Linked DNA regions of Drosophila melanogaster. The gene in region 4 interacts genetically with the main gene of each other region. Each region holds a gene or a part of one and is shown on either strand. Other genes may lie near its edges. The genes, in order: tor, csw, PTP-ER and Dsor1.

Region 1 (8,594 bases), on a different chromosome or scaffold from region 4:
TTGGAATGCATTTTTCACTTTTACTTCTTTTAGGCGGTGGGTGTTTACCCATCATAGGCAAGGACTTTGGACTGAAATTCAAGATGTTTTTCAAGTGGCTCGGTCCATAAGGGGAAACTCCTTTGTTGGCTATGTGCGCTAATGATATCAAAACTGGACTCTTTGGTTCCGTCACTTCGGAGTAGAGATCAGATATACTTCTCACCATAAAGGGAACTGTTTTCTTCTTGTACTTTCCGTATAAATTATTGATTTCCAGCTCGCTAAGGGCGCTCAGGAGCTTTGGAATGGACACAACATCGCTGTCTCCAAAGAGATCTCTTAACAATCGTACCAGTTCGTCTTGCTCTCCCAATAGGAGCAATACATCTCCAAAGTCCTCGCCGTTGCCACACCACTTGTACTTGCGATTCAGCGCTCTCAGCCGAAGGATGTAGTCCTGCATCATGTGGAGTAGCTTTCCCAGAGTTTCGGGAGCCATGGGATCGGAGAGGTAACCATTGCTATCGAAATGTGCGCTGGCGGAGAACAAATCCTGATCGGGAAACCCACTTAGTGGCACCTTGTATCTCCTTCGTTTTCTGGATATCATCATCACTTTTCTATAGTTGGCATACAACAGGCGAAGCAAAATATAATGAGCTGCCTCTGGAGATCGACATAATCTTTTTGCCAAGGCAAATATGACCCGTCGATTGAGGTCCAGCCAGCGCGGTGGCAAGGTGTCGCAGGGATCGGGGGTTGGCTCCCGATCCGGACCTCTTATGAAAGGATTCTCGGCGAGGGGCCGACTGCCCAGTGGACAGCAGCTGGAGATGGTGCGCACCGGGCAGTGTGGACAGCTGTAGGGAATCGGTGGACATGGTGTCCGGCGGAGGCGACAGCAGTGGATGCACATCGATCGAGGTGGCCAGAAGTAGAATTGAAACACTGTAAACAAGCCAGCTTGGACCGACTTTCAATTTGGAATTTTCAAAAATGATGCTGATTGGGGTCCAAATAAACGACCTTCTTTCGAAACCTAAGCCGCAAGGAGGCACAAACATTTTGAAATGGTCGGTTTCTATGAGACATAAAGGGCACTGCTAGAAGTTTACTCTATAAATATCTTGGTTTTTCTTATAAAAAAGAAATTAAATTTTTCTTAGGCTAGCTTTAATGTTTATTGCTATGCAAGGTTATCTGGCGCATAGCATTGTCTGAATTGGAACTCGAATTTAGAATGTATTGCACTCGTTCATTATAATCTTGAAGCAATGACTATTAATTCAAAGGTTCTAGGTATAGCTCTTCCTCGCATGGCACTTGCTCCACTTTACTAAATTGTAAAAGGTAAGAAAGTAACGTATACAATTGTCTTTTTAAAGATTACTTACCTGTTTAGACCGTCACATGACTTTAATTTTGACTCGGTTGCAGCTTGCAGTTGTTTCAGCCTTTCTGGAACATCGTTAGTGGCCAAAATCATGCCACCAAGTCTGTGTTTAAGGGCGGAAAATGTTGGCCTGTGTGATGGCACGGAGCTCCAGCAGCTTTCCATCAGGGAAAACCTGAGTTAAGCAAATGTGATCAACAATTATGTACTTCGCTAAGCACTGATACCCACATTTCTTGCGTACATCCCTCCGGTCGCTTCATCCGATGACCTTGTCGCAGTAGCTGCAAGAGATCACTGGGAGACACCGACGGATATGGCATTCCACCGAGAGTGGTGATCTCATAGAGCAGCACACCAAAGGACCAACTAAGAGGGTAAGATATCAGCCACAAAATCGCTTCGGACTTAACAAAAATATATACTTACACATCGCTCTGACTGGTGTACACCTGGTGGGTGAGGGACTCCAGCGCGAGCCACTTGATGGGCAGCTTGCCACTTCCTCCGGACTTTCGGTACACGTTCTCATGATACACATCTCGACTCAGCCTTAAAAAAAAAAACACAATATAACTAATCATTGAACTTTCAGAGATACCCACCCAAAATCTGCTATCTTGATGCTGCGATCTACGGAGATTAGAACATTCCGGGCAGCCAGATCCCTATGCACTACTTTGTTTTGGGCCAGAAATTCCTAAAATGGCAAATGATACATGCTACACTTTTTAATTACATTTAGGGATAGAGTAGATGTAGGCTACCATTCCCACCGCCACCTGTTGGGCGATGTCTAGCAAATCTGCATATTTCAGTGGTATTCGGGGCTTGGTATCCGATGAGTCGAGGCAATCAAAGTATTCCTTGTTCTCAAAGATTCGCTTCTTGTTGTCCGATTTGAAATCCTGCTTCGAGTCTTTCTTGGGCTGCGGCTTCAGCTTCCGTTTTGGCCGATCCTTTGGAGCTTCAGCGGTTTTGGGAATGTAACTCCCACCGATGTTTTCAATGTCCTCCAGGCCATAGCCCTTGTTGTCGGCTGCATTGGTTATTCGAGTGAGGGTGTAGGTCTCACATCGACTTGAGTGTGTCTGATCCGATTCACTCTCCTCTTCCACAGTGGACAGCATCGAGTTGTTGATATCCTCTATGCGATCATGGATGGAATTTCTAGGGAGTCGGTTAAACCGTCGGTTGTCCACGTTCTGTTCAAGGTTCTTCTTAAGTCCAATTGCATTTTGCTCCTGCCTGAACTTCCACTCCTCACTAAGTAATACATTTTTTACTATACATCACTTGTTTTCCAATATGTATAAAAATAACTTACCGTAAAAAGTTCTGCAGGCTTCCAAGGCTGCAGTATTCAATTAGCAACATCATCTGGTTGCTAAAACGAGTGGAGTATCCCACGATACCCACAATATTTGGATGCTTGCCCACGGCCTTGAGCATCTGAATTTCGCACTTGAACGCATATACGTCCTCGTCGTTTGGTTCATCTGTGAGAACAAAAATTCCATGAATTATTCAAGAACTTCAATACCAAATGGTACAACCTTTCAGCAACTTGACGGCCACTTGGCGTTTCTTGTAAACTCCACGTCGCACCAAGCCAAAGGCTCCTTCGCCGAGGACATCCTGAAGGAGCACCGAGTGTGGCTCCACCTCCAGCTCGTCCATTACTTCCAGACTCTCGTTGGCCGAGAGGGTGACCAGCAGGCCACTGCTGTCCATCAGGGAGAGATGAAATTCACTGGCCTTCGCGTCCTTAGCGTCCATTTGCAGCGCCTGAACCTCCGAACGATTTCGTCTGCAGAACGTCAGGGAGCACAGCATCAAAATGCAGCATATGGGCACGATAATAAAGAGTACCAACTTGACCATGTTGCCCTCTGTTCAATGGATGGAAATGGATGTCTAAATATTTAATTTCCTTCAGCGTACGTACCGCTCAGCAACACACCTCGATGAACCTTGTCCAACGTCAAACCGGATACGTTTTTTCCGCCTGCCGACTGGGCCACCAAATGTACTTCGAAATGGGAACCCAGTACCGTGATCTTGGGTACATAGAAGTGGCTCCTGTTTTGGTCAAGTGTATAGTTTAGCTCCGTACCTCCTTTGAATAGATCAAAGATGTGAAGTGTATAGTTATCCGGCAGGTATCTGGGACGCGCCCAGGTGATGTTCAGGGCCAAAATATTTGGCAGATACTGCTTCTGGGTCACAGTAAGATTCTCTGGCTTATGGGGTGCTATGAAAGGGTGGAACAATATTATTATTATTAATATTATTATTATATAGGACTTTCGAGGAACCTACGGCAGAGTGTGTAGTTATAGGGATACCAATCCAAGCAGCTTGGAACAGCGATTGGCAGCCACTGCAGATCGCTCTCCAGTCGATTCATTATGTTCACCGTTCTTACGCCAACGTGATACTGTTTGTCAAACTCCAAGTTGTCCACCGTGTGCCTGTACAGCTTTTTGCGCTGCAGTAAAAGATTAGCTATGCTCTAGCATTGCAGGGGCGTCATGGCATACTCACATCCCGGAACTGCACCTCCAGTGGCTCGTCCATATTCACGCTGTTGGTTGAATACGACACCATGTCGAAATAGCAGTTGCTCTCTGGAATATGAAAGTAGGGTTCGTAGATCGTTGATTGATTAAACTGATGGAGCTACTTACCCGCCGATGGCTTCCACTCGATTTCGGCAGCAATGTGATGCAGGTCGTCTGGTTGGGGGACAAACCGCAGCAGATTCACCGCTCCCATTTTGCTGGGCTGATAGCCTCGGATGAGGGTGGCGAAGGTCTGGTCCTTTGCTATCAAGGAGTAGCTGCCATCTCCGTGCATCGCCAGGGCGGTGATGTTGTGGGTAGAGTTGGACTCCAATCCCGGCAGGATGAGAAAGTTGTCATCAGACTGCAAGCGAATAAGTCGATGAAAAAGAGCGATCCACTTGTAAAACGAAACATTAGGTCTTGATGACTACATAGTACATCTTTTTCTAGAAATTCATCAAATAAAATGGTATTTTAAAGTAAATAGTAATGAGTTTACATCTAATATCTGACCAGGTAAAGCGCAGTTTCTTTGTTGTCGTCCTTGACAGCATCCACCCGGATTATGTAGGTGGCATTTGGAGCCGGCTCGGTTCCCCTGCTGTGCTGCACCCAATCTATTTGGAAAACGATTTCCGACTCCGTGCGGCAGATCATGTTCATCTGGTAGTTTTCCTGCACCTTGCGCAGAGCCCCGGGAAATGTTCCATTAATCCTGCAGTCCTTTAAACAGCTTCGGAAATCCTGTCGAGAAAAGAAGCATGCACTTTTGGTTATGGAGTGTTCCAACATTCTAAGGGTGTAAACATACCATCTGGCCCTTTTCCAGACAATTCTGGGTGCAAGCGGTGACGTTGAGAAGCGTCTTATCGTGAGAGATTTTGTCCATTAGCAACATTTCACCTTGATTGCTTCCCACGAAAAACCAGAAGATAAATGCGTACTTCGCGTAGAAAATAAGCATTTTCCTTGTTCTGCTTTTGAAACCCTTCTTTAGTTCTTCGTTGTGTGTCGGTGTGTGTGTGTTGGAATGAAATGTGTATTTGTTTAAAACCGACTTAAAGTTTATTGCACTTTTGCCACCACGCACTTTGATACAAAACTCAATAACACACACAGCAAATTCGAATACTTAGTTTCTAGATTCCAACTTTCGAGATCAATACCATCCGTCCTTCTCGGATTATCTTGCTGAACTGAGAAAGAACTGAGAAACTGAGGCCAAAAATGCGATGGTAAAAAAGCGACGAAGAAGGAGGAATGATGAGAAGCGGCGGACTCGTTGAATATATTTTGCGCTATTTTGTTTTGATTTGTTTTTCACCTCTTCACTGCATCGTATTGTACTTGATCGTATGGATGGGATTGGACTAGGGGTCATTTGAAATGCAAAAATTTGGATCGCTACTCCGTCATAGTAGCGCCAGGGCTTGGGATAAGCATAGAACATTGACTTCAGATAACTCTTCGCAATTTTCATTTGTGATACCACCAACAACGTTTGTATTTCAATCTTCTATGATCTGTTGCGCCAAAAGAGCTTGTATTGCAGCAAACCGATAAATCAGAATGCAGTGCTGGTCGCTTCCATCCCTAGAAACCATGTTGGGCGCCAATATTCGAAATTAACCAAAAAACAACTATGCTAATTTCGCCCACATTGTAGCTTTTGCGTGATCACACTTTCCCTGATTCCATTTCAATTGGAACAGAGCTGACAATACAGGTATTTCCTTATAGCGACTTGCAAATGCACATGACCTCAGTTGCCTCTGATTCAGGTTATTCGTATAGAACGCTCGATTACATTGGTGACTCAATTGTTGCATCGCATTCGAGTACTCGAAACACTCACATGGGAAACTCGAGCATTCAGTGCCACTCGCAAGTTTAGTTAAATGTTGTACGCTCGCATCGTCGGTTCTGCTGCTCAAACGCGATAACGATCCATTACGTGTGTAAACATTAATAATAAATTTCTATGGGAGCGTCTAGTTTATTAAAGCTCTACAAGTTTAAAATAATTAGCCTGTGATACTAGGCCAAAGCGGATCGGATCAAAAGCAATACGAGTAACTCCCAGTTAGTTTTATCACCATTCAATTAAAGTGAGGAGGTTGTCGTGCAACAGCAGTTTCGTTCTCTTTCTAAAGGCATTCAAACCAGTTGCAATTGAAATTTCAAAACAATAATTATATATATGTGATCACAAGTATCGGACAAACGTTAAAGCCGGCTGTTGTTGGCAATGATAAGATCATATCATATAATATCATATCGGCATTCTAGCCAGACGTCCATATAGAGCAAGTCATTATCTTGATTGCTCGAATTTTTAAACACCCCAAGCGAATAGCCATTAAATCGAAGGTATTTTTTTAACAACTCTAACCAATAGCCACGCACTCGCGCCACCGACGGATACTGATAAGGATAAGAAATGGTAACTAAACATTGAACATTTCCATTTTTCAGTCGCCGGAGGACCGTGCTACCAAGTAGTTCAACTTTCCGAGTTCGAGAGCTCTGACATCATGAAAATCGAGTGGGCTCCCAAAGGAGTTCCCATGGAACGGCGTCGCCAGACGTTTGCCATGGCCTTCCTAATCCTATCCTTTATGATACTCTCCTTTGGATCCTATTTCTTCGTTGCTGCCGTGCTGGTAAATACATCAGTGCTTCAATATTTTGAAAAGTAAAGCATTCCCTTCCAGTTCTATGGAAGCCTTTTGTGGCGCACCATTATGGTCATCTATTTGGTCTACGTCTACGCGAATCACAAGAGAACCCACTCCATTATGGATGGCAATGGGTAGGCGTCATGAAGTCCCTATAAGAACACTTAAAGCTAAAATAATCCATTTTAGCTGGAAAATTAACCGCAACAATTGGCTGTTTCGGCATTATCGGGACTACTTTCCCGTACAGCTGGTCAAGACCGCAGAGCTGCCGCCGAATAAGAACTACATTTTGGCCAGTTTTCCGCACGGAATTTTGGGGTAAGCTTGTTGACTGATAGTCAATCTTATCGATGGTTGCTTAGGTGACGAAACATTTGTATACCTTCTTACGCACATATTGTAACCCTGATAGGACTGGCATTTCCATTAATATGGGTCTAGACATCTCCAAGTGGCTGCAACTGTTCCCACAGGTGAGGCCCAAGGTGGCCACTTTGGATCAAAACTTCCTGACGCCCATCGTGCGTGGTCTCCTGAGATCTTGGGGCCTGGTGTCGGTTTCCAAGGAGGCCTTAGTATATCTGCTAACCAAATCAAACGATCCCAAGCACAAGGACAATCGTGATGGGTTCACCTCCAACGCGGTGGCTATTCTGGTGGGTGGTGCCCAGGAGGCACTAGACTCGCACCCTGGCAAATATATATTGACACTGAAGAACCGCAAGGGATTCGTTAAAATGGCCATTAGGACAGGGTAGGTTGAAATCGGATACAACTAAAAGTTATTTTTAATTGTATCCGGTCTTCATTTTAGGTCTTCGATTGTTCCCACGTTTTCCTTTGGCGAGGTGGACATTCTGGATCAGGTTGCCAATCCACCGAACTCTCGGGTTCGTCGCTTTCAAGACTTTGTAAAGAGGATAACGGGGATATCTCCGCTGATTCCCGTTGGCCGGGGCATCTTCAACTACTCCTTTGGCTTTCTGCCCAACCGTCGACGCATTGTCCAAGTTGGTGAGTCCTCAGCTCATTCAAATGTCGCATAGTTGTAAGATTCAAATAAACTTTAAAAAATTTCAGTTGGCGCTCCCATCGACGTGGTTCAGAGCGATCAACCAGACGCAGCCTATGTGGATAAGATACACAAACAGGTTATTGACGACCTGGAGAAGATGTTCGCCAAGTACAAGGATCAGTACATACCGAACTCCAAGCAGGACAAGCTGATTATACACTAGTCGAGAAGTTATTGTCTAAACAATGTGATCAAATGAGTGCTTTATAAGCATTTAATATAAAAATTACGAATTTTATCAGGCAAATAAAATTGCCATACAAGCTTTTTAAAACGACGGGTAGTGATCGAAACTTTGAATAAGCAGCTATCGCTATTGATAGCAATTATTTATCGATAAGACGGCAAACAGTGTTGATCAACGATCAGTAGAAGTTGGCGTTCAATTTAAAATGAATAACTATGATTTATTAATTGATATATAGGGAAAAAACATAACAATGAGCGCAGAATATACCAAATGTAGTAATAACAGCATTATCATTTATTTCTAATAATCCCTGTTCAACCAGCTTTATTGATTTTTAAACTACAGCCTTCAATTAAAAAACAATTATTTCATCATACAAGCATACAACTTAATCCGTTGTATGTTTTTGTAATTTCGTTGTATGTAGTATAAAAGTAATACAGCTTATCACTTAACTGACTTATAAATCTTAAGAAATACGACCCACAGCATAAAATGCTTATTGAATCATAGTGCTCTTGAAAGTGGGTAATCTCCTAGGAATCGCCGCATACCTTTGCACCCAGACGGCGATTGCATGCCGAGTTTATAATCTTCATCACTCCAATCGCGAATTCCCATCAGCCCCACACAAAGTGCTACTGACTGGTTAGTTGGCTTGTGATTAGCAGGTAATGCGGGCGCCCTGCATGAAGCCGAGAGCCGA
Region 2 (6,869 bases), 7.1 Mb from region 4:
AAGCCGATCGGTTGCGAGTGATAAGAATGAGTTTGATGGGTTTATTTTTAGCAAAACGGAAGTTATAAATCTATTACAAGCAGGTCTATATGCACTGCTTGCTTTCACGTAGACGGAAACTGTGCACTGCTTGCACCAAATCGATAGCATCCCAACCTCAGTTTTTACTCTATCTTCATTTAGGCAAAAGTTAGAATTTCTGGAAAAATGATTCCGATTTCCGATATTCGTAAATACGAACTGCGCATTCTTTCGGATGATTCAACACACACACACACACACGATTTGCGTATGGAAAGGTTCCCGAGTTATTTGCATAAGACAATTCACAGTTTTCGGACCACATCTATTAGCACATTTGCGTATTGTTGGCCGATCGCTTGTTTGCGATCGCCGTAGTTAAAATGATTCGGATTCGTGGACGCATCGCCCTCTGCCGTCTGACCCCGTGCAATCGAGTTGAACTTAGCAATTATCGCAGCCCACATCGATCATATCGCTGATATCCTTTGTGTCATTCTGCCGAACTGCGGTGCTGCCAAACTGTGTCTCCGTCTCCACCCATATTTCGGTGTTTATCTTTAAATTTAGCACTGTGACGATAATACAAAGCAACACAAATTACTTCTGTTGCGCTCTCACTCAGCGATTTAAATCGGGCAGACTGGGGGTTAAAAATACAAGCAGATGGAATTACCATCACCCGAGTACGTCAGTGAAAATTTTGCACCTTTTTGCATCATTTACAGTTACACTTACAGCAGCGAATGCGAATGTGGCGTATTTGTATTTACCATACGGAGGAAGCTGCGCGCCATTCATGAAAGCGCCGCTAAGGTCAACAAACAGATTTACATGCACACACGAATATGTGCAGCGTATTCGTACACAATATCCGAATACATATACAAATCCCCCCCTCAGTGTTTTAGTCGTTTCGTTTGTCACAGGTTTATTTTGCTTTTCGTGTGGCAACGCACCTGGAAAGGCGGCAGCGAAACGACTGGTATTGGGGTTACGAGGTGGAGCGCGGAAGCAGGGGAACGAGGCCTTCAATTAATTAACTCAAAAGTCGGCAAGATACTTATTGAATTATCGAATGAGCTGCTTGCCCCTACCCTAACCGCCCACTCGCAAGCAGTGTGTGAAGTAGTAGTACAGTCTATTCAAAACATAATATTTTTTGAACAGTTCAAACTGTTAAAATAAGCATATAAACGATATGTCAAGTTGGAGAACTGGACGGGGAAAAGTACTAGTTGGGGAGAGTCTGGGATAGAATTGTAAAATTTCCATGGAGTTACAACCCCAGAACAAAGCCCTCCCCCCCATAATTGGGCCTTTCCACTGAGAGCATCTTGTAGTCGGCCGACGTTATGAATTTGCACAAATTAAACGCTTTTATTTGATCAGTAGCCACAGCTCACGGTTGTGCAACGGACAAATAAACGGAAATATGCAAAACAGAAGGCAGCGCTCGAAATCCATTACGGGAAATGTAATTTCATAAATCGTTAATCAGCCTTATGGCGAGAAGAAAAACCATCGGAAGGTTAATAGTTCTACAAGGCGGAGGGCAGAGGACGGCGGTGCCCCATTGTTGACCTAGTGAGTGTGACAAGTGAAATCCGGAAATCACGCAGCTTAAGCTGTCAAAGCTATTGGCACATCATCTTCAGATCATTTGGCATGATGTGCGTTTTAGGATAACGACGAAAAGATCGCCCTAAAGCAGGATACCTATAAAAGCTGAGCATAAATTAGAAAAACAAAGATCAAGTTAACGAGCCAATCAACACGTTCAGCGATTATGAATCCGTTGCGATAAAAATCAAAATAAATAAATAAGCAACAACCGAAACCGACTGCACTACCAATCCGAGCTCAACTAAAAGTCAAAGATAATTTATGGGACATAATAATAGTCCAGCAGATACATATGCGATTGTTTTCTGGGTGTACTGTGCGAATCGAGATCGCCAAGATGGGGCCAGCCCACACAAACAATCGGACGGCACATGGCACAGCCGGGCAGATAAACACCAAGATCAGACACGGAGTGGGATGGAATCTTTGGGGAATGTGGACGACGGACAGCGCAACAGCGGGACATGGGTAAACATTCCGGGCGCGAGTGAAGAGATAATTCCGATCTGGCAGTGGGCCAAGATACGATGTCTGCAGTGGGCAATTCGCCGAACTCTCCCGGTTCTACAAGTGCGTAATTTAGCCAGTGCCTAACCAATAACTCAATCTTCAGCTCTAAATGAAAGAACCAATATCGAAACACAACTTGACAACGGGCCAATTGTGTGGGGGGGGTTGATATGTTGATATGTGACCATATTTGAGTGGCGATCTGAGCTGGGCCCCCTGCCATTTGCCATTCCACTCCCTTCACTTCACTTCGGCATTTGACAGTCGGAAATTCATTCATATTAGAACGTCAATTTACGATTGCTTGTTTTCGAGTCGAATGCTTTGCGTAAATATTTACTCATTTTGCGTGGCAATTCTGAACACATGACAGTATGTGCTGCGCTGATTTTTTTTTTTTTTTGCTTTGTTGCGGCGTCAACTGCCTGTGATTGCCTGCCTTATTAGGGTTAATGTTGATGGGCAGCAGATTGTCTCCAGATTTCCCGCGAATCATCTGCTACTCCGCGACATGTGACTGACAGGCGGGGCGACATACTACGATGCGATGGTAGCTCAAAATACCATTTCACCTGCTACGGGGTATCGTTTAGTTGGCAGCCTGACAACTTCATTACTCGCACTCCAATAACAATTAGTGCCTAATTTCGCACGCGCCCCAAATTAGCAGAACGCTGCTCTTTTTCTAACACTCTGGACTGGACTGCTGTCGTTTTTTTTGGGCGACCTGAACTTACGTGTAACCATGGAGCTGGACGCGCATGGTGGCCAAGAGGGACAGTGTGCTGTTGGAGCAGCTGGCGCCGCCGAAGGCGGCTGGGAACTGGGGCGGTGTGGCTGTCCAGGAGGTGGGCGTGGCCGGGTAGGAAGCCTGCGGGCTGGGTGTAAGACGGTGCAGAGATTCCGTCGATGTGGAGGCGGAGGCAGCGGCGGAGGGTTGGGCGGAGAGAGGACGACGTCTGCGCTGCAGTCGGTTGTCTCGATTACGTTGCGCGTCAGCGCCCTTGGCCACGCCCTTTATGATCTGGGCCAGCTCGTCGTGGGTCATACAGTTCTTGCAGGCCGGCTCCTGGGCCTCGGGTGTCTCCGTTGGTGGGGTGACCTTTGCTTTCCGACCCTTGCTGGCCTTGAACTTGCCGCTCCTTTCGCGCTCCTCCGAGCGTCTTCCCTTGCTTCCGTAGTGCGCCTGTATGGCTCTTTCGTACTCAAAGTTTCGCTGATTGTTGTAGGCATTGTTGTTGTTTAGCGTATTGTTATTGTTATTGTTGATATTGTTGTTGTTGTAGACTTGTTTCTCTTGCAGCTTGTGATTGACCACATTGCCCAGCGAGCTGGACAACTTTTCCAGACATTTGTTGAACAGCATTTTCTTCACACTCGTTTTCTCGCACACACCAAAACAAAAAGAAGCTTAGATAGTAGTATTCCACTGCGGAAAAATGCGTCTCGGCTGGGGTGTTTTTTTATTATTTTTTTTTTATTTTGTTATTGTTTTTGTTTTATGTAACAACTTGCCCACACACACGAACACACACTGAAAGCACAAAAACTAGAATTCTTGGTTTTTGTTTTTTGCCGCTGTTTGTTGTGCTTCTCTGTTTGCTTTTTATTGATCTTAGTCAGCTCGATTAGGGGAAATGTCTACAGTTTGTCAAATAGAGTGCTGTTTACCCCGCATTCGTTTATTATTGCACAATCTTCTTGAGAGCCAGCAACAGCTTCTTTTCGTACGACTTGACATTGATGGCCTTGGCCACGGTGGTGCTGCTGCTGTTGATGGTGCTGGTGGGTTTGACCTCTGCTGGGGATGCGGCCTGCTCGTCGAGTCGCGATTGTGCCGCCATCAAATGCTCCAGGACAAATGTGGCTGAAGGCATAATTTTCGCGCTTTGCCTTCGAATAACAAAAACACTCGATGGAACTTGTACTGGCGCCCAGTAGAAATGAAACGAACTGCTTGCCGCTCGACGACGAACGGCGACTGCTTGCGAGCTGAGCTGCTAACCCGTTGGATCACAACTCGAGAATGAAGCGCCTGCTGCCGAGTCTGAAGCTTTTTGCCTCGGATTCGAAATCGCAATCGGAATCGAAATCGGATTCTTGACGTTGTCTCAGCGCGGCTCCTCTCTTTGCGATTCGATTCTTCCGCTCTCTCTTAGTGGCTATATCTCTCGGACGGGAGCTGTGGCCTGGTGGTGTTCTAAGCGCTGGGGTATGAATGAATCTGAATCTTGACTGGCTGCGGACGGCGCTTTTTGTTTTTAAATCCAGCCGGCGCTCTGGTTAGCCCTTCCTGTCGATCTCGTGGGTGGGTGTTTTTATTTATGGGCTTTATTTACTGTCAGCGAGCCAGAAGTCACAAACAAATACAAAAAAAAACACAGTAAATAAAACGGAGCGAAAGACGTAACTTTGAAATTGATTGGCAGTGGGTGTGTGCACAGCTTTCCCCTGGGCTCCTGTTTCAGTATCATCAAACTGCTTGGGCCCCTCAGCGGGCGCCACTTAATTGTAGCCATCCTGTGGACGCCACTTACGGTTTATTCAGAAAGCGAAAGCACTTTGAATTGCAATCAACATTGTAAAAAATTACACTTTTACTTTTCATTTACTTTCAATTAAGTGCTAGAGCCAGGCTAATACCTATAAATATGTATAGCGGGCTCCACTCTATGTTTATTTCGTAATGACTGTACTCCTGGATGAGTCATGGAGTTCATCGCAATCAGAATCCGAATCATACACATTTCGAAAAGCAGGCACATAAGATTAATTCCAATCCGAAAATGGTCATTTCGTGATATGAGTGTGTTGTTGGCTTGTAAGAAAGCAAATACAAAAAGCGCTTTTAGCGCCGTCCGTTGCCTGCCACCGGAAATGAAACTGAAGCCGCACAGCAACTACTGTGGCGGCCATCTAGGCAAGGAACTGGGTTTGCTGGGGGGCAGGTGGGTTGGTGGGCAGGTGGGCAGGTTGGTAGTTGGGTAAGTGGGAGCTAGAAGCGAGCAGTGCCAAAGCTCTCTTACAGCGCAGGCGCAGACGTCAGAGGTGCGAACGTGCGCAGAATATCTTTTTTTTTTTTTTGGCCAGCAAAACAAAATCGTTCGACGTGCGACAGCCTGCGAACTGCGATCTAGCAACACTTTACTTCCAGCCTCGTATTCATGCCTCCCAACGATGACGAACTATTTTTTTTTTTTCCAACATTTCGTCATTGTTTTTTCGCTGGAAACCAACTAGAACTTGTTACCCAAACCACATTCAAAATCCACTCAATGGAAATTGTCTCCGAAGTGTTCGATCAAAATTGAAAATGCTCAGCTCAAACCAGTCGGGGAAACCCCATGTAGCTATGCATGCATGCATCAATGCAAACAGGATGTTCCAGGCCAGGTGGACCAGATCCGTGGAAACCACATGGGGCTTCTGGGCGCAGTTAGGTGTCGGTTAAGAATATTAGTCATTGCAATGGCAAATGCAAGACGAGAAGTGCATTAAAAGTGAGTAGAGATGATTTGAGCTACCTGATTGCTATCGATACAGAATTAAGAGCGAGGCCAACATTGGCCATTCGCAAGTTTAAGTTCTTAGAAATGATCGGGTAACGCAATTTAGAAGTGGCATTGACCAATAGCCTACCCAACGTGTTTACATTACGTATGGAATTACTAAAAGTTCCGGCGAAGTAGTGAGTGCCGTGAGTGCCGCCCTACCCAGAAATAAACTTGATCGGTACCAGTTGCCAGAGCGACAGCCCAGTCCCAGTATCCCCAGTGCTCCATTCCTGAGCTCCGCGACCTTGGCTATCCCGATTTCGTTGCTGGAGACCCAGACCGCATTTGGGCACAGCCAAAACCATTCGTAGGTGCGATGGGGAGTGGGCCAGAAATAAACATAATTTATTGTTCAGTCGGAGGCGGGGGATGGTTAGTATGCTAGGCACACAGCTACATATGTGCCGACCACTGATTGTTCGCCACTCCGAATTGGGATTGAGATTGAGATTTGGTCTCGGGACCCAGGGATGGCAGCCAGCGGAGCCGAAGCCAAAGCCCAATCCGTAAGTGAAGCGTGCCGGACCGAATGCGCGGCGACAGCTCCTCGAAATGGGTTATTCAGTCGCCAAAAGCCAATAGCCGATAGCCAATAGCCAATTGGCAATCGCAAATCGATTGTGGGTCGCTGCGGGGACCACTGTACAGACGTGTTCGCACTAAATCAGCCAAAAACCAACAGAACTGTTTTGCGGCAAATGCCAGAGAGTATAGTTTATGGGCCATTATACCGGGCATTTGTGAGCTTGGTTATATGGTAAATTTTAAAATGAGTACTTTGCGACCCCACCCAGAAAGGGGTAAATCAAAAATAGACGGGAAGAGGCAATTAGGAGAACTACTTATATTATTTGTAAATAATTTACAAATCATAAATTCACCGCCGGTGGGCGTGGGCTGCATTTTTTTTTTTTTTTTTTTAGCTAAAACTCAGCTTGTTAACAAGAAATCATACTGTTTGCTGACAATGCAGGATTCGTGGCACCAACTCAAGCACCGAAATAATGTGTAAAAAGTTTTATAGGATTATTGCATCCTGCACAAACATGTTGCGTTTCCCAATCTCCAAGCCTAGAGAGACGAGCCCAGTTTTAGTTGTAGCCAGGTGGGCTTCCCCATAGCGGCCGAGATTTATGATACTGCTCGATTTTTGCCATG
Region 3 (9,605 bases), on a different chromosome or scaffold from region 4:
TTGCCGGCCCACCAAAACGCCTTGTTTCACTGGCACTTTCACCTACAAACAAGTAATTGAACAATTTTGTTGCGATTTGGAAGCGCACTCATTACCTTCATGCTGCTGCAAAACCTGGTAAAGATTAGTCTTCCACACGGACGAAGAAGCATTGTGAAATCAGCCCGTTACGGGTTTCCTTAACAATCTAATCGGCAATTATTCGGCAATCTCAAAACCTGAATCTGAAACACTGAACTTTGTTCGTCGAAATCAGCTGTTTGAGGCGCTTAACCCTTAGCTGGTGCTGCATGAGTGATTTTCGACGTCAATTAGTTCAAGTTGTAAATAGAAAATATAAACATTTAATTTACTTTAACTTAAAGCTCTAATTAAAAGATGTAATTTTGAGTACTGGAGAATTTCTTGTTAATGTCAAAAAAGTAACTCATCGCAATTTCCCTTTACTTAAAAACGTTAAGAACAACAAAATAAAACTGCCAACTTTACACATTAAGGTTACATTTAAAATGTTTCTAATTTTTATTTGACTAGTTCCATTGCATAAACTTAAATACATGTTCATTTATGGGTTTCCATTTTACTTATCGAATTTTTATCTTGTGTTTTAAATGAACTCGTGTCCGTATTTTGGTCCACGTCCGGCGGTCGAGCTGTCCGCTTGGGATTGGAGAAATTGGTGTTTAGTCAGAAGGACCCAGGGAAGGATCCAACTTGAGAAAGGTTTGAGCTTTCTCCGCCTCCAAGCAGGATGCACAACTCACCGAGGGGCGTCGACGAACGTCGCGAGTCATATATAGATGCGCATCTTTATGGTAAGGTATGGTTTTGGTAAGGTAAGGTAGGGTATAATAATTGTTAATTAACTTTAGTTTAAGCATAGTTCACACCAAAAGTCGGAAACATTTACACTTATGTACACATTTAACACACATACATCCAACACTTAATAAACATTTATATATATGTAGAATATGTGGTAATAGTAATATTTAGAAAACATTGAAAGCATTCCGTCAATCCTCCTTCGGAGAATGCCATCATATTCCATTTTCGAGACTCTTTTAGCCATGGTTTCTTGTTTTACTTGTTGCTTGTCCGTCGCGGTTGCTTTCATTAAAATAAGGGCCACAAAAATTGTGATTACAAATAGTAAATTGGTGTTTTGTTCTTCATCTCCATCGTTTTGTCGTCAAAAAGTTGTTGATCATGGTTTTCGCTCGCTTTTAAAATCGCCTCAACGCCAGTGTGCGTTTCAGGTAGAGGCAAATGGCCCGATGGATGAGCTCATACTGCTCCGAGTTCTGGACCATCCCGCCCCGCTGCAGGCGAAGATTGCAAACGATGCCCAGGACGTCCACGAAAATGTCCGGCATCTTGGGCAGACGGTCAAAGGATGGCGGCGTCTTAACCGCCTCCGCATCGCGATGATCCAGAATGTGGCTGATGTGCCGGATGGTGTTGCAAGTAAAACTGCTGTCGCTGTCCGTTGGGTTATGGTACTCCTCTGTCGAGCTGCTGGTCAGCGATTTGGTGAGCATTCCTGTCAGCGAGTAGGCCAACGACTGCCGCAACTGGCGCACTGCATTCAGGATGGCCGTGAAGCAACCGGTGCGCCCAATTCCAGCCGAGCAGTGGATGACGGGAAGGGGCTGGACTGCATTGAAGATGTCCTGCTGGTAGATCTCCAGCCGCTGAGCAGCCAGGTGGGCATTCCTCTCGCTCCTGGTGTCATCGTAGATGTCAAACTCCGACTCACACTTTCCAAGGTTGAGTACATGCAAGCAGGTGTCCAGCAGCGTGTTGATGTCCCGAGGCGAGTGATGATCCGGCCAGTCGGGATACCAATAGTGGTAGCAGTAGATTTTCTGCAGGTGGTAGCTAGCACTCTGTGGCACACGAATGCAATAGAGCAGCACCAGCTTTCTCACCGAGTAACCATTTCTTCGCACAATGCCGACGTTTTTAATGAGGAAGAAGCTTCCCTGGGCGGGCAAAGCCTCCAGCAGATCCCCTTCCAGCGTCACCTTCACCGACTCCACGCCTATGTGCCGGCCACTTATCTCATAGTCGATCGCATCCGAGGAAGCCACCACAGTGTCCGGCACAAAGGTGGGCGTTAAATACCGATCGAAGTAATCCCGGGCAGCCGCACTCAGCTGAAACACTTCACACTTGGCGGCCACCGCGAAGATCTCATTCAATTCGATGGGGAAGTAGACGGCGCACTTCTGCCGGTTCGCTTCCGTGAAGTTTGTGAGCATGACAATCTTCTGGAAGTACTGCTGCAGGATTTGCTCCCTGTCAACGTGAGGACTGCTGCTGCTGCCTCCATCCACGCACCGTCTTATGTAGCGCTGCGTGTTCTGGTATATCATAAGCCAGAACTCGAAGATTGTATTGGGCAGTGGACCCTGCGTGGCCACATAGCACTTCGACACGTAGTCGGGTCCCTGAAATGAAGGAAATATATACATTACTTTCATTGGATTTGCGCTTAGTTCCATTACCTTGATGTAATTGGCATTAATGTAGGGCAAGTCCTCGCTAGCGGTCACGGAGCTGGTCCGTTTTATTTCCCCCAGCAAGCTAGTCAGCTCGCTGGACTCGGATTCGAGTAGCACGCGAGAGTTCTCGTTTGGCAAGATAGTCTTGTAGCGATTTTTTGTCTGCGAGCCGAAGACCATTGGCTTCTCTTGGTGATTGAGCGGCAGGTCCCAGAACTCCTTGTGCAGATCCCGAAAGATTCTCTTTTGTTCGTTTTCTTTCAGTTCCGGTATTGGTTGCGCCATCCTACTAACCACTGTCTGGTAGGACGCGAGCAGTTCACTGTCCTCCGAGCTCGGGGGCACCATATCCGTGGGTGTCTCCACATCCCGTGCGTTGGAGCCCAGCACCGGCGGCTGCTCTATGATGTTCCTATTCGTCTGGTAGCTGTGATCGAACACGTAGTTCAGCCGGATAAGATCAAACTGATTAAGTGGATTGGAGGCGCTCTGCAGCATCTGTATGCTGGCCAAGTAGATCTTGAACTCCTCGCTAGTCGTTTGGGGCGACAGAGGACGGGTCATAATGTTGCGTACGGTGCCAGCGCAAGTGCACGTCGCGCCAATGGCCTGATCTTCCCTCACCGAATCCTGCTGAGGATTGGGTTGCAAGTCCGAGGCGGATCCGAAACATACCTGCCCGAAGAACTTTTGGCTATTGGCTTTACTGCTGTTCAAGTTCTCAGTGCTAAAGAATTTGCGCTGATGCGGGGCTTGGTTGGCGGCAGCACAACTGCAAACCGTGACTTTCGGTTGCACGATGTCCGTCATCTGGATCTCGGTACCTGCTGCTCCTCCCAGTATGCTGCCCATGTTGAGAGTGAGGCTTTGATTGGAGCCACGACGTTCTAAAAGTCCTCGTTTCGGAGTAGGTACATTGGATCCAGAGCCCGATCCCGAGCCGGTGGAATTGGTTCGCATATTGAGTCGGTTGTACTTTTCCGCACTTAACATTGCCTGTTGCTGTTGGAGCTGCTGCATGGAGTTTAGATCTCCACACGATGTTGTAGTGTGCCCCGTCTTCAGGGTGATACTGTGATTTGATCCCCGCCTCCTGAACAACCCCTGCCGACTACCCTGGCTGCTTCCCAGCAGATGTGACTGTGGCAATTGATCCGCTCGAATTTGGCTGGCGGTTCCCGCATCCAAATTGCAGCTGGACTTGGAGTTGAGTATTGAGCCCAGGCTATAGTTGGAATGACTTAGTCCACTGTTCATTAGGTTGCCACAAGAGCTGTGCAGGTTGAGCGTTAAACTGTGATTGGATCCCCGACGCTGAAGGAGATTCATCGATGATGTAGACACTGTGGTCTTTGCCTGGAGTGTCGGCATCGGCAAATCCATTGACTTCTGCTTGAAAGGCGATTCCTTAGGACCACCGCCAGAGGAGGAGAACTCCACCAGGGTAAGGCACTCGGGAAGCGTTTTTAAATTTGTGCTGGACGAGTGCAGTAACTGATTGTGCTTGTGGGCGCTTCTCGGCGCTAGGCTTGCGCCTATTCCAAACTTCGAGCCACCGTCCACGCTACAGGCGGACTTCAGTTCAAAGTCCCCCAAACTGGGGGTTAAACTGGCGTCCGAGTCCAAGGAGCTTTGTGTCGTGGAGCTGCAGTGTGTCGGTTGCACCTGATATGGGTTCTGCTTGCGGTGGTACATAAGCCAGTCAGTGGTGTTGATTCCTGGTGACTTTCTGCGCGGCGTTCGTCTTTGATTGGCCAAGCTTAGGTGACTATCCAGTCGCGAGAGCGATGTTGAGTGGATAGCGGATGCGGGCTGTTGAAGATGAAGGTGATGGTGGATAACACTTGTCGATGGCTGGCTCTGTCCTGTCTCCATGTCATCACAACTGCCATGAGATTCGGTTATGTTGTGCACCACGATTGACAGTTCCGATTCGTTGGCAGCCGAGTCCAGCGAGCGGGCCTTCTCCTTGGTGCTCTTGATAGTCGGTGTCTTGGGCTTGGGCAATGGTGATGGCTGGCTCGAGTTTTTTATGGGCACGTCCGTGATGCGAATGGTGAGATTATTTTTATTCTTGCGGTTCTTTCGCCCTTCCGATTTTTGTTGCTGCTGCTCCGGCGGCTCGGCCAACGCAGGACTACGATCCCGACGTGTAGCTTCCTCTAAACAGACTGTATCCATGGGCGCATCCTGCACGACATGATCGATCTCGGGGAAGCGAAAGAAGTTGCCGTTCTTGTAGCCGGCCGAGTTAATAATGTTCAGGGGTGAACCGGACACGTTTAGGTTGTTGATGGAGGATAGTAGTTTCGGGGAGTAGCTTAGGCGACTGGCCTCCAGTCCCGGCGTCGTGGAGGACTCATCCTTAAACAGGATGGTGGGTGAGTTGTGCTCGCTCTTCGACAAGTACAAGCTGTTCTCTAGGTCTTGGTCGACTGACCCGCCCTTGGGCATAGTGTTCTCCTTGTCGATGCCACGGCCACTGACCCGCTCCTCGCCGCTGGAGGTATTAATATGCGGCGAGCAGGATCGGCGATCATACTGTGATAACCTCTTGAACTTGCGGCCTAAAGTGGGAGACTGTGAGCTGGATGGATGGTGGACGTGGGCTGCTGGATGGGGGCTGGTAATGGTGAACTGCCGGGGGGTGAAGACCTCCTCCTCCTGATCCTCGTGCTCGGGAAAGCCCGGAACCCCGCCCCCAACCTCCACCGTGGGCGACGGAAACTCGAAGGACGTCTGCAGGTACTCGAGGGGCGTAAAGTAGGGTGTACTCTTGTTGCTCTCCGCATCCTCGCCAGCTTCAAGTGGGGTCGTGTCGGAGGGGGCGGCGTGGGTGGGACGGGGGGTCTGTGGGTAGGGGTACTCAATGGGTGCATTCTCCTTGTTGTTGTTTCGTAGCTTGTCCATGATACACACACACAATTGCTGAAGCGGGGCGATCGCAGCGCAGTCGCTCCGCCCGTTTAGTGTCTTGTCCTCACTCGATCGGCATTATAACTATCTCGCCCGCACAGTTAGCACTTCCGAATTGGACGCAAATCATGGGGAAAAGAGCGTTTTCTTTTCACAACATTTTCAGAGCTAAAGCATGGAGGGCTACCAGACCGCGTATGTAATCGATCCGGCAATGCCTTCATTGCTTACCGTGCTGCCAGGCCGCAGACTAACTGCACCAAGACCTGGCAACGTTGTACCTAATTTAACCGCATTTTTCAAGTGTCTTTTAAAATAAAAAGAAAGAATAGGTTAACAGATCTAGTGTTTACATCAAGGAGTTGCAGAATTTGTAATGCAGATGTTGTACACGGGCGATAGTTAATTCAATCGATCAACTGAGATGGTATCAGACAATTATATTTTGCATGCATCCAGAAAAATTGTTGTAAAAGATCACAGACTTAGTTCTAAATAGTATTTCAACCTACCTGTATTTTTGTTTATGAAATCACTACAAAGTTGTGAACAATTTAGAAGCAACAACGTAGTGTTCCTATTACCACCGTTCCGTTTACCTCACAGTTGCACGTTGCTCTTTGGCACGCTTTTATCTGTGCATTTGCTTGGAAATAATTAATTGAGTTAGGCATTTAAATCCTTTTGTGTACTTTAGACTTATTTAAAGACCTTTTAGATTGGTTTAATTTGCCGAAAGACGAAAACAAACAAATTTGTGCGACAGCTGACTTCATTATTTCAACGACAATAGCAAAAGGCCACACTAATTTTGCGAAAAGCGCGTGGTATTTAATACCTTATTTATTTGCTTTATTTCGCCATTAGAAGTAAGTTTCGCTGTGTCGAAAATCTAGCAAAGAAAGCCACTGGATCAAGACCTAGTGCATCCAAAACCCAGTAATTCATTTCGATGTCTGAGGGCAGCGGAAGCGAGAATGCGGCCGCAGCAGAGGCTGCGGCCGAGGCAGAGGCCGCGACTGAAGCGGCACTGATGGCTGAAGCTGTGGCTGTGGCCTACCAGAGCGACGAGGAGGAGCAGCCAGAAGCCGAGGATATGCCGGAGCAGGCTGGCGATAACCAGGAAGAGGACGCCGCTGAACAACAGGATGGGGGGGAACCAGAGGCCGACGAAGACGCTGATGCTGACGACGCCATGAGCGTGGAAAATGCGGAAAACGAAAGCGATAGCGGTGGAAACGCCGAGGAAACCGCTGCCGCCGACCGTCGCCAAGCCACCAAGAAGGAGCTCACCCAGATTATCGACAAGTGGGAGCAACAGCAGACCCAAAATGGATACGATCCAGTGCCCACTCTCAGGAGGTAAGCGTGCTTCAAAATCATTAACGCATGGGTCCAACTTAATACCTTTACTATCGCAGCCTTGCGGAGATCTTTGAGCGTGAGAAGGACGTGTATCGGCGCAAGGATCCGGATCCCTTGGACTCACGACATCCATATAGAGCCGATCCCAGCTGCCAGTACGGATTGCTACTCAAGCTGCTCTTTCGGAAGGATACCTTCATGGGCAAAGTAAGAATAAAGTCATGTGATTTTTATTTTTCTAAAAAGCAATGTAAATGTTTTCTTAAAATCAGGTGTTTTAGAATTTCCAAAACATAAGCTAACTAAAGTGAAATATTTTATTTAACTAGCTCCTCAACGATTACCTGCGAGAGAACTATTTCAGTCGCCAGAATGTCAGTCGCAGTTCTCTAGAACTAAACATCTTGGCCTGCCGCCTCATTCTGGAGATAATGCCAGGAATGGAGACCTCTGCAGTATTTCAGACCGCCGAAGGCGATGGAACCATCAATCGCATCTACTCTTGGGCAGAGGACAGCATTGAACCGCTTCAGAGCTATGCCACCGGGCTTTTAGCCGAAGCGATGGAAGTGAGCGACATAGCCATAAACTTTCGCGATCTTAATATTCGATTGGTGCCAAAGATGATCAAGCGTCTGCACATGCTCCTGGCGATCAGCAAGAGCGCCACTTCAGATGTCAATACGTCGATGCACAATCTGTCGGCTGACAGCAGCACGGCGGGCATGCTTAGCTGGGTGGCCTGCGCCAGTAATGCATCGGCTCCTCAATCGCCGCAGCACAATGGCAGTGGGCTGGGAGCAAGTTCCTCGCAGCATGGAGACGCCTCTAATATGTCCATTCTGTTCGAGAACAGCAGAGATGCCTTTTCCGTATCTCGCTATTACAAACGGATGTACATTCCTTTGCACCCGGCCACAGCAGATACCAGCCAAATGTTAATCATGCGCTTCCTGACCAGCCTGGGCGAATATCAAGAGTTCCTAGCCATGGCTTTCGAAAACAATGTGATGCAGCTAATTTTTGGCTACCTGGAGAACTTGGATCGCCGGGACACCTGCTTGGCCTACGAAGTTTTGAAGTATCTGGCTTCCCTTCTTTGCCACAAGAAGTTTGCTTTAGAGTTCATTTCACACGGTGGACTGGAGGTCAGTAAATGGTCTTGTAGAGGGAATGTAATTATTTTTAACTTTACTATTTTTTACAGCTTTTGTTAAAAGTGCCCCGCCCCAGTTTGGCGACTACTGGTGTGTCCATCGCCATCTACTACTTAGCATACTGTGAAGACGCCATGGAACGCATATGCAGTATGCAAAGACCACTTATTTCAGAACTAGTTCGCTACGCGCTTTGGATTCTGGGTCGTTGCCACGACTCCTCAAAGTGCCATGCCACCATGTTCTTCAGTCTGAGCTTCCAATTTAAGGTCATATTGGATGAGTTTGATGCTCAGGATGGTTTAAGAAAGCTGTACAATGTCGTAAGTAAATGGTTTAAACGAAAGAAGTTCGATTAAAGTCAATTACCTTAACTTCTTCCTAATAGATTTCCGTACTAAAAATTCTTGATCCGAGCCACAACGACAGCGATAATGACTCTGATTTCAACGAAGACGTAGAATGTGCTTCCCGACAAATGGTGCGCCACGTCTGCGTAGCCCTCAAGCGCTATATGGAGGCGCACTTCTTCTACAAGTACAACAGCTTTCTGTGCCAAACAAATGCGGCATCCCCGGCACCGTCATCAGCCCACTATTTCAATCAGAATCCCACGGTTGCTGCCAAACTGACCTTTGACCAATTGAACGACCAGATTCGCACGCTCCAGGAGCACACTTCTATCCGGGCGCACTGGCAACCCGTGGATCAGCTAATGAAGCTTGGTGGAATCACCATGCTACTCAGGATCATCGCCTTCAGTTACGATTGGGTGAACAGTGGACGCTCCGAGACGGTGCGCTCGGCTCTGGACGTGCTCAGCGTATGCTGTATTATCCCAAGAGTTTATGTTGTGCTCTGCGAGCGCCTGCTGATGCTAGACAAGACAACTACCTCCGGATTTTGCTCGGTTCTGGGCGCTGCTGCAGGAGAGATTAGCTCGGATGCAGAGGTTATCAAATCGGCGTTAGCGGTGCTGTGCCATTGTGTTTGCTCTCCGATCATTCGCAAGGACAGCGGCACCAGCCTGATTAAGTTTGGAACGTCCTCCAGGAAGAACAAGGCCAACCATAAGTACGCCGAAGAGCTGATTGAACGTGTGTGGGAGTCCGTGTGCTCCAACAATGGCATTGTGGTCTTGCTATCGCTGATGCAGACCAAAGGACCCATTACGGATGCGGACTGTATACGTGGAATGGCCTGTAGGGCCTTGGCGGGACTTGCTCGCTCCGATCGGGTCAGGCAGATCGTCAGCAAGCTTCCACTCTTTGCCAGCGGACAACTCCAGACGCTGATGCGGGATCCCATACTCCAGGAGAAGCGCGCGGAACATGTAATCTTCCAAAAGTACGCATTGGAGTTGCTAGAACGAGTGTCGGGTAAGACGAAACCGCTAAATAATCCTTTGGATCCATCGCTGTCCAACATGCACAAGGCCAATGTAATCGCCCAGACACGCATCCAGTATAACAAGCAGCAGCTGTATCAGCTTATCTTCGAGCACCTGGAAAGCAACGGTCTCTCCCAGACAGCCCAAATGCTGCAACGGGAGGTGGGTCTTCCGCTACAGACTCCCACTACGCGCAGTTTTCATCAATCACCTTTCGACTACAAAAGTCTTCCCAGTGGTAGTAGCTCGCTGTCTAGAAATCGTCTGCGA
Region 4 (7,005 bases):
CGGAGGTGGGTTAGGTGGTGGACGGGATAAAGGGGAAGCGGGAGGGAATCGCTAATGAACTTTCCAATTTGAAATGCCATATTCCATTCCTTTGTCTCCGTGGAAAGGGTATGGGGAATTGGCATTGGAAACTAGGAGTTCCATGATCCCGATCCCCGCTGCTTGCCGACCATCGTTCCAACATCGATCGCAGTGATGTGGAACGCCAGGAATCGTAGTTCCAGGATCAGAATTCAGTGCTCTCACCTCTTTCCATCGATGCCAGCGATTAGGACCACATCGCACAGCTGCTGGCTATCCACGTAGAGCTGCATCCGTTTGAGTATATTGTCCGCATGGTCTCGGCAGCGAAAGAACTCATCCTGGCTGCCCGCCGAGTTCAAGCTGCCCAGGCTGTAGTCCCGCGACAGCGATTCCAATGTGTTGTCAGCCAGCATCGATATGTGCCCGGATGTGGAGGCCGTCGAGTCCCGGCTGGGACTCTCCTTCTGGTTCACCGCCGACATGGTTCTTCTTCTGTTCTGGCTGTGCGCTCCTTTTCAGCGAAACGTCTGCATCGGATCACTGGCTGGAAGCAACTGGCTGGCGGCGGTTGGCAGAAGGCGGATCGTGGATCGCGAATCGGTGAGGCCGATGGAGGGGGTGGCGCTGAAAGGTGGATGCAACGGTAATTTGCAACAAAGAACGCTGCCTCTTGCCACAGTGCGCGTACGTCTGTGTGCTGTTGTGTTGGTGTGTTGGTGTCGCCTCCGATCTATTCCACTCGCGATCTTTGAATCGTTTCAATTGGCCGCGAATTGCGTGCTGGATCTGTAACTGTAACTGTATCAAGCTGCACGAGCGCCCGTGTATGCGTTTAGTTTATGTGTTTATATACAAATTCCACAGCTGTTGTGACACACTCTGGCCACACTGAATTGATTTATTTATTTTCTCACAGTGTGACCAAAATACACGCACATCCAAAAATACCTTCAGTATATTTTGTTTGAAATATATATTTTTTTGAGGGGATTCCCATTTAGATCGGCAAATACTTTTTTTTTTTTTTTTTGAATTAATGTATTTCATACAATGGAGTGAAGTCTGAATAAAAATGACAAAATTTAATTGAGATACAATTAATTCGCTTATGTATTCAACCTTTTGCAAGATTAGCAATAACACATTATAATTTTATGCATTATTTTAAAATTAAAGATAATCCTCCAATGCAAATAATAAGAACACCCCATCATACATGGTATGACTTCGATTTCTTTATTTTCGATTTAATAATAATAATAATAATAGTTCAGTTGTTTTTGCCCAGCGTCAACGCTCTATTGAACAAAGAGCAAGTGTGGATATGGGAGGATAGAGAAAATGGGGGCCGGAACGCAGAGGCGTCTAGTTGGGCGACGTATTACGCTTTGGCGTCGATGGCGGCAGGTCCATTGTCTTGCACACCCAGCCGGATATATCCACCTCCTCCAATTCCGCCTTGCGTATCCACGGATGACTCTGCCGAAGAATACATAAAACAACTTGAATATATATATAACTGAAGAAATGGCGACGTTTCGTTTGCTTACCAGCAGGGTCTTGAGATCTGCCCGCTCGTCGGGCTGTTTCTTCAGGCAGATGTCCACGAAGTCCTTGAACTCGGTGGAGAAGATCTTGTGCTCTAGCTTGGGCGGCGGTTCGTTTACAATATAATCCAGCAGCTCGAAGATGGCCATTGCCCTGGGCTCGTCCGTCGGCTGGCCGCTCTCCTCCGCATTGTCGGCGAATATCGACTCCAGGGTGGCGGTGTTTGGCGGCGGGATGGGGTACATGCCGATGGCCATCTCCACCAGCGACAGACCCAACGACCAGATGTCCGACTGCACGGAGTAGTGGGTGCCCTGCAATCGCTCCGGCTGAAACAAAGAGGACATTAGCATGTGAGTTATATAGATCTCTTATAGTTGGCTATATTTAACATCTGTGCATAGATGAGTGCCTTGTTTTGCTATTGCAATGTTCTTTTTTAAATACTTTCGCCGATTTCATCGACCTTCCGTTGTTTAATACACCTAAGTATAGATTTTGATTAGCTATCCAGTTACTTACCGACATATAGCTACGGGTGCCCACAAAGGAGTTGGCCATCGAGTCGATCAGTTGACCGGAGACGCCGAAATCACAGATCTTGATCTCGCCGCTGCTATTGACGAGGATATTGCTCGGCTTCACGTCACGGTGGATGATGGCGTGATTGTCGCGCAGATAGCTCAAGCCCTTGAGCACCGCCAGCGTGATCCTGCCGAGAATGGACTCTGGTATTCGACCGGCCCGCTTGAGGATCAGGTCAAGTGATCCACCGTCCATATACTCCATGCAGATACTGATCTCGCCGTCGCTGTAGAAGGCGCCGTAGAAACCGACAATGTGCGGGAAATTACATTCGTGCAGGACTTTCAGTTCGCGCAGGATCTGTTTCTTGATCGCCGGCTTCACCTCCAGATGGATCAGTTTCCTGGCCATGATCAGGTGTGTGTGCGTGTGCCGGACCTTCATCACCACGCCGCCATTGCCCGATCCGAGCTCGCCCAGCTTCTCCAGATCCTCGTCGGACAGCTCGCCGATCTTCTCCTTCTGGCTGAGGAACATCTTGATCCGCTTGCGTTCCGTGTCGCCCATGTCCAGACCCTCCAGCGTCTCTGTCAGCGCATCGATGCTCGTCTTGGGCTTCCCCAGCAAACTGTGTGTGCTTTAATTTAACCTCTTAATGAATTTTTGCGATCCAAAACGAAAATGTAAAAAGTGCAAGCAATGGATGGGATTTGAAAGTGGGGGATGGGATGAGGGGCGGGCCGAAGTTTCTCCTAATAATAAGAAAACTACACAAACATACACATCAAATTACATATGTATTGTGTTATGTTATGTTGCCTACATTTTGGTGCTCACAAAAAAATATACGATAAAGGTAGGACTATTAAATTATAATTTCTATTTATCTTCGAAACTGACTTTGTCATCCCGTTAATTAATCCAAAAAGCACTAAAACAGTTTACTGTATTTACTCAGTAAGTTTTTTCTCGCTGTGTACCTGTGCGTCACACGAAAGGAGCACCACCCACACCAACAAACAAAGAGAGAGTACCTGCTCTTTCACTCCGACTGTCTCTTTCTTTCCAGCTGGATGGGATTTCCTTGGATCAATTGATGGATATTAATTACCCACCTAACTCGCAAAACTACAGGATTATCTTACCACTGAGTAGGAAACCGAAAACGAGGAGTGGAAGGGGAAACAGCGAGGGAGGGGGGATGCGGTGTTATTGGAATGGGTGGCCTAAAAACCAGTCAGTTATTAAGGATATTATGTATAATATTTACTCTGTGCCCGAGGGGGTTTTGAATGGCGGCGTCGGCGCCACTGTGGCGGCGGCAACAGTTGCCTCCGTATTTACCGGCGGCAGCACCAGATTCAGCTTGTTCTTCGACATCTTACTATATATAATATATATCTCTCGATACCGTTATCCGTTACCGATAAGTTAAAGCACACAACAATAACAACAACAAAAAAAAACTAATAAATGAAACAATACAAATAGAGAGTGTTCCAGTGGAAACAACAACAAAACGCACTACGAACAGCGGCGTCCGACGAACGGCTGAAGGGTGTGAGGGGCGAGGGGCGTCGGCGAGGGGGCGTGCGAAGGGAGGCCAAGTGCGAATGTTTCGTTTTGTGTGTCCAGCCGCTGGTAAATTTGCACCAATTCCTCGCGTTGCGCTTAACTTTAACACACCCGAACCGAGCACACGAACAGCAAACGGATAGTTAATATTATTTTTGCAATAATCAGCCAAAATCGGCGACTTTTGGGTTTTTTTCGCAGACGGTGCGGTATGGCCAGATGTCGCGATTACCAAATACCGTTAATACACTCCTACGACTAAAGCGGCCAATGGTCACAACTTAAATGGAAAGGATATTAGGATTAGATATTACTAATTTGTTACGATGAGGGGAGAGGTATACTTATCTGTTTAGCCAATTTAATTGAGCCAAAACATATCTATAAACTATTCGATACGCTTTTTAAAGAAATTTCTCCTGAGCATTCGCGGTTGATATTTTCATGCCACGCGTATACGGTCACACTCTCCCACCCCACTCATTTTCTTAAAGGGAAAAACAATAACATTTCCGGCGTATTCCCCGCTCTATCTGACCAAAATGAGGCTCCAACGACAGTGCATTGTGGTCAACATGCGATCGGCCATTGTCCTGATCATGATCTTCGTGCTGACGGGGATCAGGAACAGCGAAACGGCCAGCGGTGGCAACCAGATGGACTTATCGGACTCAAAAGGCGATCACAAGGATAACAGCAATGCGAGCAATGGCAATGGAAATGCCAACGATAACGAGGTGTATGTGCCGCCCCTGGTGTCCAGCATGGTGGCCAAGAGTGGAGGAGGTGCCGGTGGACTCCTGGACAACATAACCGCCTACAGCAGCAGCAGCAGTAGCAGTAGCAGCAATGGGAACAACAACATGCTATGCCCGTACGATAAGGAAACGCCCTGTGATCGCCTGCAGTTTCCCTGCATCCGTTGCAACTACAATCATGGATGCATCTACGGCCGGGACTTGAATGTAACCTGCGAGGTGATCAACAATGTCCAGTGCCTGGGCGAACGGAGTTTCCAGCGACAAATGAATTGCCGATACTGCTACCAAACGGAAATGTGGCAACAGAGCTGTGGCCAGCGCTCCAGTTGCAACTCGGCGACGGATAAGCTATTCCGTACCAACTGCACCGTGCACCATGATGTGCTCTGCCTCGGCAATCGATCCTTTACCCGCAACCTGCGATGCAACTGGACGCAGGGCTATCGGTGGAGCACAGCCCTGCTGATTAGCCTCACGCTAGGGGGCTTTGGAGCCGATCGATTCTACTTGGGCCACTGGCAGGAAGGGATTGGAAAGCTGTTCAGCTTTGGCGGCCTCGGCGTCTGGACCATCATCGATGTCCTGCTCATCTCGATGCATTATTTGGGGCCAGCGGATGGCTCACTTTACATATAGTTTAGTTTTACAGGGGTTAATAGGTCATAAGCTAACTTTTCCATTACAGTGTACATAATAACGAATGCAAATATGCAACCATTAGGAATAGCAAGATCTTCTCAAAAACGTGTACATAATTAATTAGGAAATGTATTTTATTAATAATGCCAAAAGTTCTTTTTTGTATCTTTTATCTAGCACAATTCTTTGATCGTATCAATAAATAAGTGAAAGAGAAAATATAACCATCTCTTTCTCGTTCCTGTAAGATCAGACAAATTTGTAAAAATAAATGGTTTGTTTCATTCAGAAGATTTATTTCAATTTCACTAGGAAGTTTCTTTTTTAAAAATTCAATTTGTTTTTACAATATTACTCTAATATTACGAAATCTTGTGCTAGATCTAAATGTATCTTTTGCTTACATTTATAAATTTATATAGCTTATATTATAGAGTTTCCTGAAATGAAATCCAAACTCACCCCTCAACTGAAAGTGACTCAGTCCATGGCGGCCGCCTGCACTTCATCATCGCCATCATCAAACTTAATGTGCTTGCCCAGCATTTTGCCCACTTTCTCGCGACCGCGTTTTTGCTGCACGCGCACCTTTTTCGAGAGTTTCGCCTCGCGATCCTGCTCGATTTTTCGCCAATAGAGCGTCTCCTGCTGGCCAGAGAGCACTTTCAGCTGCCTCTCGGAGCAGTTGACCTGGCGTAGCAGTTCCTCGGCTGCGGCAGGCGTGCCCAAACGTAGTAGGGCCACTTGGTCGCCCTCCTTAATATCCACATATTTAATATCCGGATATTGGCGCATTTCAGCCTTAAATTCTTTAACATTGGTGCATGGTTTTAGCAGGGAGCACTCCACAATCAGCCCGGGCTCGTATTTAAAGAGCGGCGTGCGTTCCTGCGAAGGTTCTTCGGATTTGGTGGATTCCACGCCGCCGGCGCCGTAGAAATTCATGTTCATCTTGTGCACCGCCTTGCGACGCTTGGCTGGCACAGGCGCTGCTTCTACGGCACCTTCACCGCCATCGCTAGGGACCTCGCCTCCGGTTTCCTCCTCTTTAACTGCCTCGGGCAGCTGTGAAGGTTTCGGATGGTTTGGATGACTGGTCTGCTGGTGGTGAGGGTGCTGCTGATTTTGTGGGTGATTTTCTCGCCACAGCTTGCTCTTTGCCTCACTGACGATGCGACGCTGTAGATTCAAGTACTTATTGCGCATACTGCTCCAACTAGTCTTGGGTAGCACCTTGAGCTCCAGGGCACTGGGCTCAATGTTTGGCTTGTCCACGATCGCCTTCTTCTTGCGCTTGCGACGGCGCTTTTTGGCAGCTTCATCGCCATCGGTTGCCTCTGTTTTGTCCTCCTGCTCGGAGGCTTCGGCTGTGCCCTCTGCATCCGTTTCACTCGCTGTTTCCCCAGCTGTAGAGGTCTCGCTAGGCTGGCCCTCCTCCAACTTAACCCGTTTCACCTCGTGTATCTCCTCGCGATCCTTGTCGGTGGCCTCCCTTTTTAGATTTCGCTTTGGCAACTCAACCTGTTCAGCCTCTGACTGCGGCTGCTCCGCTTTCTGTTGTATCTGCTGCTGCTGCTGAAAGGAGCGCACACTGGCCAGATCACTGGGATCGGTTTCTACGGACAAAACGCCCTGTATCTGGGCAAAAGCCTTCACAGCTTTCTCCAAGGACCCGCTCTTTTCGAACTCGATAAAGGCAAATTCCTTGATCTTCTTAGTGCCCGGATAGTGGGGCAGGGACACGTAGGCCACCGGTCCGTAGCGGCTGAATACCTCCTTCAGCCAATCGTGAGTGGCATTTGCAGGCAGGGCCTCTACATACAAGGTTTTGTCGTTGACATCGCGCTGATCTGGTAGCTTGGTACGTCGCTTGACCTTTAGTTCGGTCTCATCCAGCTCCAGAAGCTGGGAGTTGCTTAGTGCCTTGGCTATC

Evidence for each region.
Region 1: of Dsor1 (region 4) and tor, changing one suppresses a phenotype caused by changing the other (phenotypic suppression), as found in Drosophila melanogaster (2 studies listed by BioGRID).
Region 2: of Dsor1 (region 4) and csw, changing one suppresses a phenotype caused by changing the other (phenotypic suppression), as found in Drosophila melanogaster (2 studies listed by BioGRID).
Region 3: of Dsor1 (region 4) and PTP-ER, changing one suppresses a phenotype caused by changing the other (phenotypic suppression), as found in Drosophila melanogaster (2 studies listed by BioGRID).

The regions. Positions count from the first base shown.
Region 1 is NT_033778.4:7,704,040-7,712,633, forward strand, and holds tor (torso), read right to left. Parts: upstream 5,146-8,594; 5' UTR 4,907-5,145; coding exon 4,754-4,906; intron 4,687-4,753; coding exon 4,456-4,686; intron 4,304-4,455; coding exon 4,066-4,303; intron 4,006-4,065; coding exon 3,923-4,005; intron 3,867-3,922; coding exon 3,698-3,866; intron 3,630-3,697; coding exon 3,324-3,629; intron 3,268-3,323; coding exon 2,932-3,267; intron 2,875-2,931; coding exon 2,703-2,874; intron 2,642-2,702; coding exon 2,143-2,641; intron 2,076-2,142; coding exon 1,981-2,075; intron 1,928-1,980; coding exon 1,805-1,927; intron 1,745-1,804; coding exon 1,607-1,744; intron 1,551-1,606; coding exon 1,377-1,550; intron 1,319-1,376; coding exon 1,264-1,318; 3' UTR 1,144-1,263; downstream 1-1,143. Other genes in the region: CG34216 (uncharacterized protein), read right to left, coding at 1-898; CG1941 (uncharacterized protein), read left to right, coding at 6,477-6,605, 6,657-6,754, 6,810-6,941, 7,036-7,377, 7,438-7,637, 7,704-7,861. UniProt on the Drosophila melanogaster protein: Probable receptor tyrosine kinase which is required for determination of anterior and posterior terminal structures in the embryo.
Region 2 is NC_004354.4:2,099,801-2,106,669, reverse strand, and holds the start of csw (corkscrew), read right to left. Parts: upstream 4,382-6,869; 5' UTR 3,524-4,381; coding exon 2,895-3,523; intron 1-2,894. UniProt on the Drosophila melanogaster protein: Required in all receptor tyrosine kinase signaling pathways. Functions downstream of the receptor tyrosine kinase torso, acting in concert with D-Raf via tailless.
Region 3 is NT_033778.4:21,618,821-21,628,425, forward strand, and holds PTP-ER (protein tyrosine phosphatase-ERK/Enhancer of Ras1), read right to left. Parts: upstream 5,627-9,605; 5' UTR 5,418-5,626; coding exon 2,511-5,417; intron 2,454-2,510; coding exon 1,227-2,453; 3' UTR 501-1,226; downstream 1-500. Other genes in the region: clt (cricklet), read right to left, coding at 1-42, 96-152; mahj (mahjong), read left to right, coding at 6,376-6,785, 6,845-6,995, 7,118-7,936, 7,996-8,268, 8,334-9,605.
Region 4 is NC_004354.4:9,244,271-9,251,275, reverse strand, and holds Dsor1 (downstream of raf1), read right to left. Parts: upstream 3,935-7,005; 5' UTR 3,478-3,934; coding exon 3,368-3,477; intron 2,735-3,367; coding exon 2,095-2,734; intron 1,902-2,094; coding exon 1,575-1,901; intron 1,504-1,574; coding exon 1,390-1,503; 3' UTR 1,239-1,389; downstream 1-1,238. Other genes in the region: CG17754 (uncharacterized protein), read right to left, coding at 247-506; amx (almondex), read left to right, coding at 4,215-5,069; Larp7 (La related protein 7), read right to left, coding at 5,553-7,005. UniProt on the Drosophila melanogaster protein: Required downstream of Raf in the sevenless (sev), torso (tor), and Drosophila EGF receptor homolog (DER) signal transduction pathways.